Drosophila melanogaster: one gene and its partner. The protein of the gene in region 1 interacts with the protein of each later gene in a pairwise test. Each region holds a gene or a part of one and is shown on either strand. Other genes may lie near its edges. The genes, in order: mEFTs and ergic53.

Region 1 (4,272 bases):
CCTGCCTGCCTGCCGCCTGCCTCCCTTTTTACAATGCGCACAATTTACGTGGCACTTGGTGCGGGTGTAATTTATTTTAATTAAAAAATTTGAATTTCCCACACGCTCGGAAGTTTCTAACTTTAAATTCCCGCCCTTCGCTTGCATTGGTTTTTCAACTTTGTCGAACCAAACAACGCATGCATTTCAATATCAATTACGCTACTCTGATTTTGCCTCTCAAAATCCATTTGGCTTAAGAGAAGTTGCAATTTCATCTGCATTGCTGTATTTTTTTCTTTTTTTTTTTTGCATAGAAAAAGCTAACGAAAAACGTGAAAAATGTTTCTATATTCTGCCTGGATTATACACTTTTAACGGATCAAAAGTTTCATTTGCCATTTATCGAATAGAAATCGAAGACTTTTATCGAATTTGACATTAGCATCATGGAGACTCACCGATAGCGCCAAAAGTTCGTCATGGATTGCACCTCCCGCCGCTCGGCGGTGTCGTATTTGCCACCCACGCCCTCCTTGGTTAGGCGATCGAGGACCGTGTGCCGCAGGACGAAGTCCACAACGGCCTTCTTCATGGCGAACACGTAGTCCGCCCGGACTTCGGCTATGTTTTCATTGAGTGCCGTCTGCCACTTGTAGAGCAGTGGTGGCACAAGATCGGTTATCCTGCAGACGGAAAGCAGTTAGCAAAAAAGCAGATACATTTGAAAGTGTTCAGTGGAACGCACCTCTTGAGGATCTTCTTGCTCAACGGCGACACGTGAATGGTGTCAATGCCATGCTTGATGTAATAGTAATATCGCAGAATCTCGCGCTCCTCCTGGTCGGGAAAGGGTACGGCGCACTGGGCGGCCAGCTCGGGATCCTGGTCGTCGTCCATGTGCAGGATGAGCTCCACCAGCTTGCGGCGGAAGTGCTCCCGCTCCAGTCGCATGGTCATGTAGTTGGCCTTGGCCACGCCGCTCTCACGCTTCTTCTGGCGTTTCTTCTGCTGTTTCTTCGCGCAGAGTATGTTGTCCGGCAGGTCGGATTTCATCTTGCCGTCCAGCAGGGAGCTGGCGCATTCCGGCATGTTCAGTTCGTACCACAGGCGACGCGACTTGTACTCCGGATTGGCCTTTGACTGCAGGATGCTCTGCAGCACATCCGGCTTGGGTCGCGTGTACAGCATCTTCGACTTCTCGCATAGGCGGCGACCGCCGCATATGGACGTGAAGCTGGGGATGCTGAACTCCCGATTCGGATTCTGTCTGCCCTGCATGTTGAAGCCTGAAATCGGTTCAACGTTCGAATCAAAATGTGACTACAGAAAATGAAAATTGTTTTCAATAATTGTTTTTGAAACATAAAACGATTGTATCCCGCCGAGTTATTAATCAAAGTACTATTTAAAGTAAAAAAAAACACTAAAATATTAATTAAGAAAATAACTACGTGCGCCAGAATTAAAAAAAAAACTATTTATTAGGTTTAAGTTTTAAATATTTGGTTTCAATCCATTTCGAATCGGTTGTAACCGGTAATAGGTTGTAACATCCACTAAACGTCATTTGGCCAACGATAGCGTCGCCACTATCGATAGTCGCTTCGCAACAGCTGTTCTCCGCACACGCGCCCTACCGGCTTTTTTGCCATCCCTAACAGCCGAATTGTGCAACACGGAAAATTGTCAAAATTTTCAGTTTCAAAATTAATTGCTCGAATTAAGCACACAGAAAAGCCGAAAACTAAACTATCGACGCTTACCAGTCGTTCACCTATCGAGGCACCACACTCGCTTTGGATTTATTCGCGCCGCAACGCGATTAATTTTTCTTGAACCGAAGCGAACATACGAAGGAGTTGAAAACAAATGCAAATCTCACACAGGCTTTTCCGTTGTTTAGAATGAATTGATTTTCCGGGCAACTACTACATAGCGACAGGTCGGAAAACGGAAAAACAAACAAGCCGGCGAGTTGCCCTTGACAGCAGGCAAAGAGCAACAATTCAATTCGCACACAAATCACGCTAGAAATCATTTTGGCCTCCCAGTAAATTTCGGAAATTTTTTGGAAAAATGCTGCTACAAAGGTTTTTCACACGCGCACTTCACTCCACGCGGCAGCTTTATGCCGGCTCTGGCGGATCCGGTGGCCTGGAGAAGAGTGCCCTGGCGGCGCTGAGGAAGAAAACCGGATACACCTTCGCCAATTGCAAGAAGGCGCTGGAGAAGCACAACAACGACGTCGGATTGGTGGGTAGTTGGCTAATAGTTTTATTGCAAGCGGTGCAGTGAGCTTTCCATTACAAAGAGCACGAAATGGGGATCTCTACATTTTGAAAAATTGCTGATTTTTCTATATTATTATGTAATATATATAGCTGCACCGCATGCAAACTCCTTTGTGATCAAAACACATCTGTGCTAATCAACTCACCTTGCCATCATCTCGCTCTTGCAGGCTGAAAAGTGGCTGCACGAGCAGGCCCAGACCCTCGGCTGGTCGAAGGCCACCAAGGTCGCAGATCGAGCCACTGCACATGGTCTGATTGGAGTGCTCATCCGCGGAAACCGGGGCGCCATGGTCGAGCTGAATTGCGAGACGGATTTCGTAGCCAGGAACGATACCTTCAAGCGGTTCGTTGACCACGTCGCCTGCATGTGTCTGCAATACACGGACTTGACGGACTTCGATGGAGATCTGTGGAAGGTGAGCGAGATTTTTATGGGAAATGTACACAATATTTGGATCAGAACCGGTTTTGCATCCATTCCTAAAGAAATTGCTAATTAAAGAATGTGCATATCCTTTCAGCTTGGCTTTGATGCGGACGCCCTCAGAAACTTGCGCACGGAGGAGGGACGCACGTTGGGCGACCACCTGGCTCTGCTGATCGGCGCCATCGGGGAGAATGCCACCATCCGGCGCGCATTGTGCTTTAAGGCTAACAACGACCTGAAGCTGGTGGGCTACGCCCATCCCGCACCCACCAATGTGGGCACCACGGAAGGCATCACCCAGGTGGGCAAGTACGGAGCGATCGTAGCCTACCGATCCACGCACCCCCTGCTGGACTTTGAGTTTCACAAGAGCATTTGCCAGCAAATCGTGGGCATGAAGCCGACAAAGATCGGCGAATATGACAAGGACAAGCCGGCGGAGAACAAGGACGATGAGACGTGCCTGATTCACCAGGAGTATCTGCTCGATGCGGACAAGACGGTGGGCGAGGCTTTGCAGGAGCACAACTGCGAGATCGTCGACTACCATCGCTTCGAGTGCGGAGAGCACACGGAACGCAGCCTGGAGGCGATCATTCGCTCGCAGCACCAGAGCAGCAATTAACTAGCCATTAAGCAGAGTCTAGAACACTAAATTGTTATTAGCACAACAGCTGAAGATTGTTAAAACCGAAATTCTGGACAATGTTCTGGTCAAAATTTGCATGTAAAACAAGTAAAACAACCATTACGATCAGATCTCCACCTCTCTTATTTGAATACGCCATACCCCATGAGTCATGGCAAAAAATTGGGGTGACCAAGGAGAATGCGCCTGCGCAGAACGGGAAGCACGCTTGAGCGGCTTCCGGTCGCTGAAGCAGTGGAACCCGCGGGAAGAACGGGCGAATGGACAACGCCAGCAGAATGAACTGTTTACAAACGTGTTTTTTTGTTCTGCTTCCCGTAATTACCCACTTGGTCATGCGATAGCCCAAAAGAAAGAGCAAAAAGAAAGGTTTTTAGCTTTGGGGGCAAAGGCAAAAACCAAGTGAGGGTTGGGTATGCCACTTGCTTGGGGCTCATGTTAAGGAAATGGGAGTACGAGTAGATTTGGCCAGGGAGGAAAATCAAAATAGAAGAAATGGTTTTCCAGCCCTAAGAAATTTGCAGCACTGAAATATTAGCTACTAAGTAGGCCTGTCAAATAAATCCCTTTCATTATCAACCATCGATCGTCGTTAGAGATTCAATCGCCAAAATGGACTACCTGGACATTGAATCCTTCCGCTCCAGGTACAGCGACATAACCGTCACGGCCGTGCCATCGCGCCCCAAGGCGGACGAGGAGCCAGCAATGGACACCAACCAGGAGCTAGCAATCAAGACGCATGTGCCACAAGTGGAGATAACGAGGGTGAGTGGAGCCGCTTCTGCTGGCAGTAGCTCCACTGCGAATGCAGCGATGATGCTGCGCAACAGGCAGCAGACAAACAGCGCCGCACTTGCCTACGCCAACGAGTACAAGGAGGTGATGGCCAAACTGGAGTACACCAAGTACATGCAGGC
Region 2 (5,721 bases), on another chromosome or scaffold:
TTTGTTCTATTTGTCAGATGCCAGAGATCTCGGCCTCGCACAAATCACTGGGCCAGTTTCTGCTGCAGATTCTCGGCATGCTCAGCGGAGTGGGGATAATGCTATTGATTGCCCTTTACGAGGGCGATCTGATGAGCGCGTTCGGCACAGCGGGAGCCGCATCACACCAGCACGCGCACTAATAACATAAGTGAAATTGTAACCAACCGCAGCGAATCTTGTAGCGTATTATGTGAATTGCAGCGAATCTTGTGTATTAACTGCATTTTTTCCGCCAAGCCTATAGAACCTCTTGAATTATTATTTTTTGTATAATTTCATTACATTGTTGTTTACATTATTAGTTCACAGAGTTAGACAAAACAGAACCACAGACACAGCCGGTTGGCGCTTATCAAACGCATTTGTTATCCAGTTTATGAAACACACAACCTCACACCCACACACAAGCGACGCAATTCATCAAACTCGTTTTATTTTCGTTCCTAATTTTGCTATTGAACTGCGTTCGAATCCATTTCACACCCAATTTAATGTAAGATGTCTTGAAATTGGCTAGGTTATAAAGTGATCTTGAATTTAGATGAAAACATTTGAAAAGCATGCCGTGATGCTGTCAAATGAGAAAAGGAAGTAACAAAAAATGGATTGGATCTGGATCCCACAATCCTCTAATTACTGATCTTATACACGAAAGAGAACCTAAAAATTACGATATATTATATATAAATATACATATATATTGTAGGATATGTATACATACATATACTTTTTGTATTTTGTAGTCTAGAGTGCGCACGTTTACTTTATGCGAGTTTAACATTCTAAACCCAAAATAAAGGTATGTCCACCGCTGTTATGATTTTCTACAGTACTTAACGACTTGAACGCATATTTCCTCTTTCGGGAAATGTACACAAAACCCATTTAAGCTTAATTTATTATCGTATTTGTAATAAATTGAAAAGATTATTATATTGCACCATCATGCATAATTTAGATTTTCGCTACACTGTAGCGCCTTCGTTTAATTATAATTTTGTAATAAATCAAGCTAAAACAAAGACTTTGATTTTGTTTTAATCGATTTGAGTTTTTCTTTTGATCGCGCACAGAACTAACACGAAAGTGATTGTGATTCAAAATAAGTAACTAACATTTGTAAAATGGCGAAACTTGCGGCACGATCGCCCCTAATGACTATCCCCCACACACCGATCTGCACACAAAGCTATCACTTGTGTAAACTGAGCAACTAACAATATTTTATGAAGCCCACACTATGTGCTACCGAGGCATTAAAACCTATAATAATTCTAGCTGTAAGCTCTACGAAAACTACAAACGGTAGGAAATCAGAAACAAAGAATAAAGATGTAAACATATATACACACACTGTGCTAACTGTGCTAAAGGAATTTTGGAGATATGGATGTAATACTACTTTGGTGATATCACGCAAAAGGCAATTGAAACAACTAACGAAATAATTTTACAATAACGTATTGATAAACATGTATCTATGTAAGCACATGCGAATGGCGCGTATTTTGCTATATTTATGTTTATTTTCTAACGGGACGTAAACACTTTAAATTTTCAAAATAAATGTTTTTCCACCTCAACATCATAAAGTGATAACAAGATCTTTTGAATTTGGTGGGCATTTGCGATATCGATATAAAATCTACCGAAATCGATAGCGATTGTATTGTCGCTGCCTGAATATTTTTTAGATCACTTGGTTCTTGTTTCTTAGAATGCATGGAAAAACTTTTATCTTATAGAATTTTAAATTGTGATCTAAGCTGAAGTTAATTGTTATAGGATGGCTGGTTTTATTTAAGTTCAACATTTATATACGAAGGATGGCCTAAATAAATGTTCTAATCAATTTATATTATATTACCTTAATTGTTAATGGTAGACAATACATAAAATAATATTTGATTTTAAATTATACAATGCTTTTAGAACATCCAGTGCGATACCACCGCCTATCGGTGCCGGCTGGTTATCGATATCATCAGTTTGCACCATCGTCGCCCACCCACCACTAGTTGTCAACATATAATTGCAAAGATGCGGCCCACATTCCTGGCCATTTTGTGCTTCCTGGCGTGGAATCCCAGCTCCGAGGCGACCGGCAATCTGAGTCCTGGAGCCGTGGGCGTGCACCGTCGCTTCGAGTACAAGTACTCGTTCAAGCCGCCGTATTTGGCACAGAAAGACGGCACCGTGCCGTTTTGGGAGTACGGGGGAAGTGAGTACGAGTGGAAGACGCAGCTCCACGTCAGTTGTTTTGGCCCACTCGCTGCTGGTCTGCGGCCATGGGTGCGAGCGAGATGGCGCGAGGCGGCCAAGTGTACACGCAGGCACTTTGTTTGGATGTCGTTTTGACCACGGTTTCGGGTGTTTCTATAGCCACAACTTGTTGCTCCTCATTTCAGATGCCATCGCCAGTTCGGAAAGTGTGCGCGTGGCGCCATCGCTGCGCTCACAGAAGGGTGCCATCTGGACAAAGTCACAGACGAACTTCGACTGGTGGGACGTGGAGATCGTGTTCCGGGTGACGGGACGTGGCAGGATCGGAGCCGATGGATTGGCCTTCTGGTACACCACGGAAAAGGGTGACTACAATGGGCCTGTGTTCGGATCCTCGGACCGCTGGAATGGTCTGGCCATCATGTTCGATTCCTTCGATAATGACAACAAGCACAACAATCCTTACATCAGTGCCGTGCTCAATGATGGCACCAAGCTGTATGACCATGCCGAAGATGGAACCACTCAGCTCCTGAGCGGTTGCCTCAGGGATTTCCGTAACAAGCCCTTCCCTACACGGGCGCGAATCGAGTACTACAACAACGTGCTTACCGTCATGATCCACAACGGAATGTCCAACAACAACGATGACTACGAGCTGTGTCTGAGAGCGGATGGCGTCAATCTGCCCAAGAACGGCTACTTTGGCATTTCCGCCGCCACGGGCGGTCTGGCCGATGACCACGATGTGTTCCATTTCCTGACCACGTCGTTGCATGCCGCTGGACAAGTTCAGGAGCAGCCCAAGGTGGAAAACCAGGAGAAGCTTACGCAAGAGTACAAGGAATACCAAGATAAACTGGAGAAACAGAAGCAGGAGTACAAGAAGGACCATCCCGACGAGGTAATTGCCACGCAGCCAGCTGATAAAGATGTCTTATCGCTAGTTTTGATAATCAACTTTCGTATAATCCCACAGCACAAAGACGAGGAGGACTGGGAGGAGTTCTACGAGTCGGAGAACCAGCGTGAGCTGCGTCAGATCTGGCAGGGTCAGAGCCAAATTGCCGATCACCTACGCGAACTTTCCCGCAAAGTGGATGAGATTATTGGCCGCCAGGAGACCACGCTGTCGCTGGTCTCACGTAATGCTGGACAGGCTCTGCCTCCGCCCGCCGCCGGCGGAGTGCCACAGCAACAGCTGCCCGTTGGCGCAGTCAGCAGGAGCGATGTAGATCTTCTGCTCACTAATCAGAACATGCTGCTCAGTTCCATCCGCGAGATTCGTCAACTGGTTGGCGATATCAATGTGCGCACTGATAACATTCAAACGAATCAGAAGCATGCGCCCACAGCACAAATCCAATCCACCGGCTATGATGTACAAACGCTCATCGCCGAGATGCGCGATGGCATGAATCAGGTCAAGCAGGGCATCACCCACGTGGGCCAAAGGTGAGGAATACGCTCAAAGTCTATTTTAAGTTTCCTAAAGCTGTTGTCATCGAAGTTATTCTGAGCTCGAATTAATTTTAACCTTTTCAGCCATATTTATACTAATTTTTCGTATTCCACATTATGAAATTAGAGTTTTAACAAGTTTGATTCAGAGGAACATGTTTATGAGTTTTAGACTATTATACTTTATTGTCATCTTTTAAGTACCTCCTTGATACTCAATATGCATTCCCTTACCTTGCAGATTGGCAGCGCCACAGGGAGCAGCGCAGGTGGCCAATTGTCCCACGGGCAATTGCGTTGGAGTCACATTGTTCCTAAGCGTAACTGTTGTGCAACTGCTGCTAGTCTTCATCTACAACGTCTTCAAGTGAGTTCATGGAATCTTTAAGCGTGGATTCGAAACTAAACAATCTAACTTATTATTCCTTGCAGAAACCGCAGCGAAGCACAGGCGAAAAAGTTCTATTAGGCGAATTCGCGACTTATTGGGATCGTAACGAATAACAAACACACAAGCATACACCCACAGAAATCACGAGGAAACAGATTCGCACACCTGACTAGGCAGCAACTAAATTTAGTTAAAATGAAAGATTTAAGACTTCAGCGTAGCATGCTCTACCATTATGTGTAACTGTTTGTTTTTTAAATAGAAGTCTGTTTAAGAAGTCAGGTCACGAATACAAACTCAAGTCGTTACTTAATCAAAGCAAGAACAAGAAATTTGATCAATGATGTATGCCTCATGACAATGCCACGCAATACAAAACGAAGAAACCGTCGAAGAAGCCACAAGACAAACTTCCCTTAGTAATAGCCAACAGAAGATGTTTCATATTTGTTTTAGCAAGTCAAGTCGAAAGTTTCACTCCATTCTCAACTCTGCATATCATGTGTGCAGGCATTTATAAGAAGCACAAGAAAATCTATCTAAAAAAAAATAAAAATAAAAATGGCAAAATCTATATAAGTACGAAAATTCCGTAAACGTAGCAAATTTTTGTAATATCTTGTATACTTTAGAGTTGAGATGAATCCATCAGGCTCGGCTCTTGAAACTGAATTGGCAACATAAATCTTTTTTCCCATTTTCATGCGCCAAATGGTCAACAAAGCTAGTTAGCCAGCATTTTTGTTATTACGCCAGAAAGTGAATTAATTTAATAATTATGATGAACTGTCTCACTAAGTTTTTGTTCGGTTCGCATCGTCACTGGTGCGATGTAAGGAAGTTTTCTACTGAATAATCTTAATATACATACTGATAAATTATAAAACAATTGAAGTGAAGTGTGTTTTTATATATGTTGTCCATTCCAGTCTCGATAGAAATGTTTAAAGTGAAAATAAAAATCAATTTATAGAAAAATCTATCTCCAACTGTTCAACTTGATAGTTTTAATCTGCGTCCTCATTTTATTTTTATACTTTTCCGAATGCGATATTATTTTCGCTGATGTCGACAGAGGAAAAAGTTTATTTCTTGAAAAGTCCTCGCAAGCATAAACTAGAATCCCTGTCAGTTGCCCATCCCCATCTTCATCCTCCCATCGATGACAATGCGGCAAAAATGGCGCCACTTGGTCGCCAGAATGCGTGGGGCTGGGGAACGAGTTGGGTTCTGGTGAACTTTGGCCATAAAATGTAACTGCCAATGGTGGCATTGTGGGCAGGTCCTCTGTGGTCTGAGTACCCATTCCATCGCATTGGGGAAAATCCCAGGAAAAGCACAGCCAAAGATAGATGGACAGAAGCCAACGGCAGTCGCGGCCCATGCAATAAATTCTCTACGGGATCGGGGAATGGGTTACACAGTTCTGGTGTGCGGTTGGATGGTAGCTTCGCCTATGTGCTCCGTTTCCTATATACTTTCACTGCGCAGGAGCAGGACCAGTTTCCAAGTGGTTTGGAAGGGGGACTTGAACGGCTATTAACTTTTTATAACAGCCAATCGGCATGAGGCTTGCAAACAGAGAAAATGGTTTCGTGCCGTTG

The links.
Region 2: the proteins of mEFTs (region 1) and ergic53 interact in a two-hybrid assay, tested with the Drosophila melanogaster proteins (one large-scale study listed by BioGRID).

Annotation. Positions count from the first base shown.
Region 1 is NT_033779.5:17,498,455-17,502,726, reverse strand, and holds mEFTs (mitochondrial translation elongation factor Ts), read left to right. Parts: upstream 1-1,620; 5' UTR 1,621-2,058; coding exon 2,059-2,235; intron 2,236-2,443; coding exon 2,444-2,692; intron 2,693-2,797; coding exon 2,798-3,328; 3' UTR 3,329-3,459; downstream 3,460-4,272. Other genes in the region: Dhc36C (dynein heavy chain at 36C), read right to left, coding at 441-665, 728-1,260; CG15142 (uncharacterized protein), read left to right, coding at 3,965-4,272. UniProt on the Drosophila melanogaster protein: Associates with the EF-Tu.GDP complex and induces the exchange of GDP to GTP. It remains bound to the aminoacyl-tRNA.EF-Tu.GTP complex up to the GTP hydrolysis stage on the ribosome.
Region 2 is NT_037436.4:8,532,924-8,538,644, forward strand, and holds ergic53 (ergic53), read left to right. Parts: upstream 1-2,053; 5' UTR 2,054-2,082; coding exon 2,083-2,263; intron 2,264-2,450; coding exon 2,451-3,169; intron 3,170-3,244; coding exon 3,245-3,720; intron 3,721-3,967; coding exon 3,968-4,093; intron 4,094-4,158; coding exon 4,159-4,195; 3' UTR 4,196-5,090; downstream 5,091-5,721. Other genes in the region: foi (fear-of-intimacy), read left to right, coding at 18-182.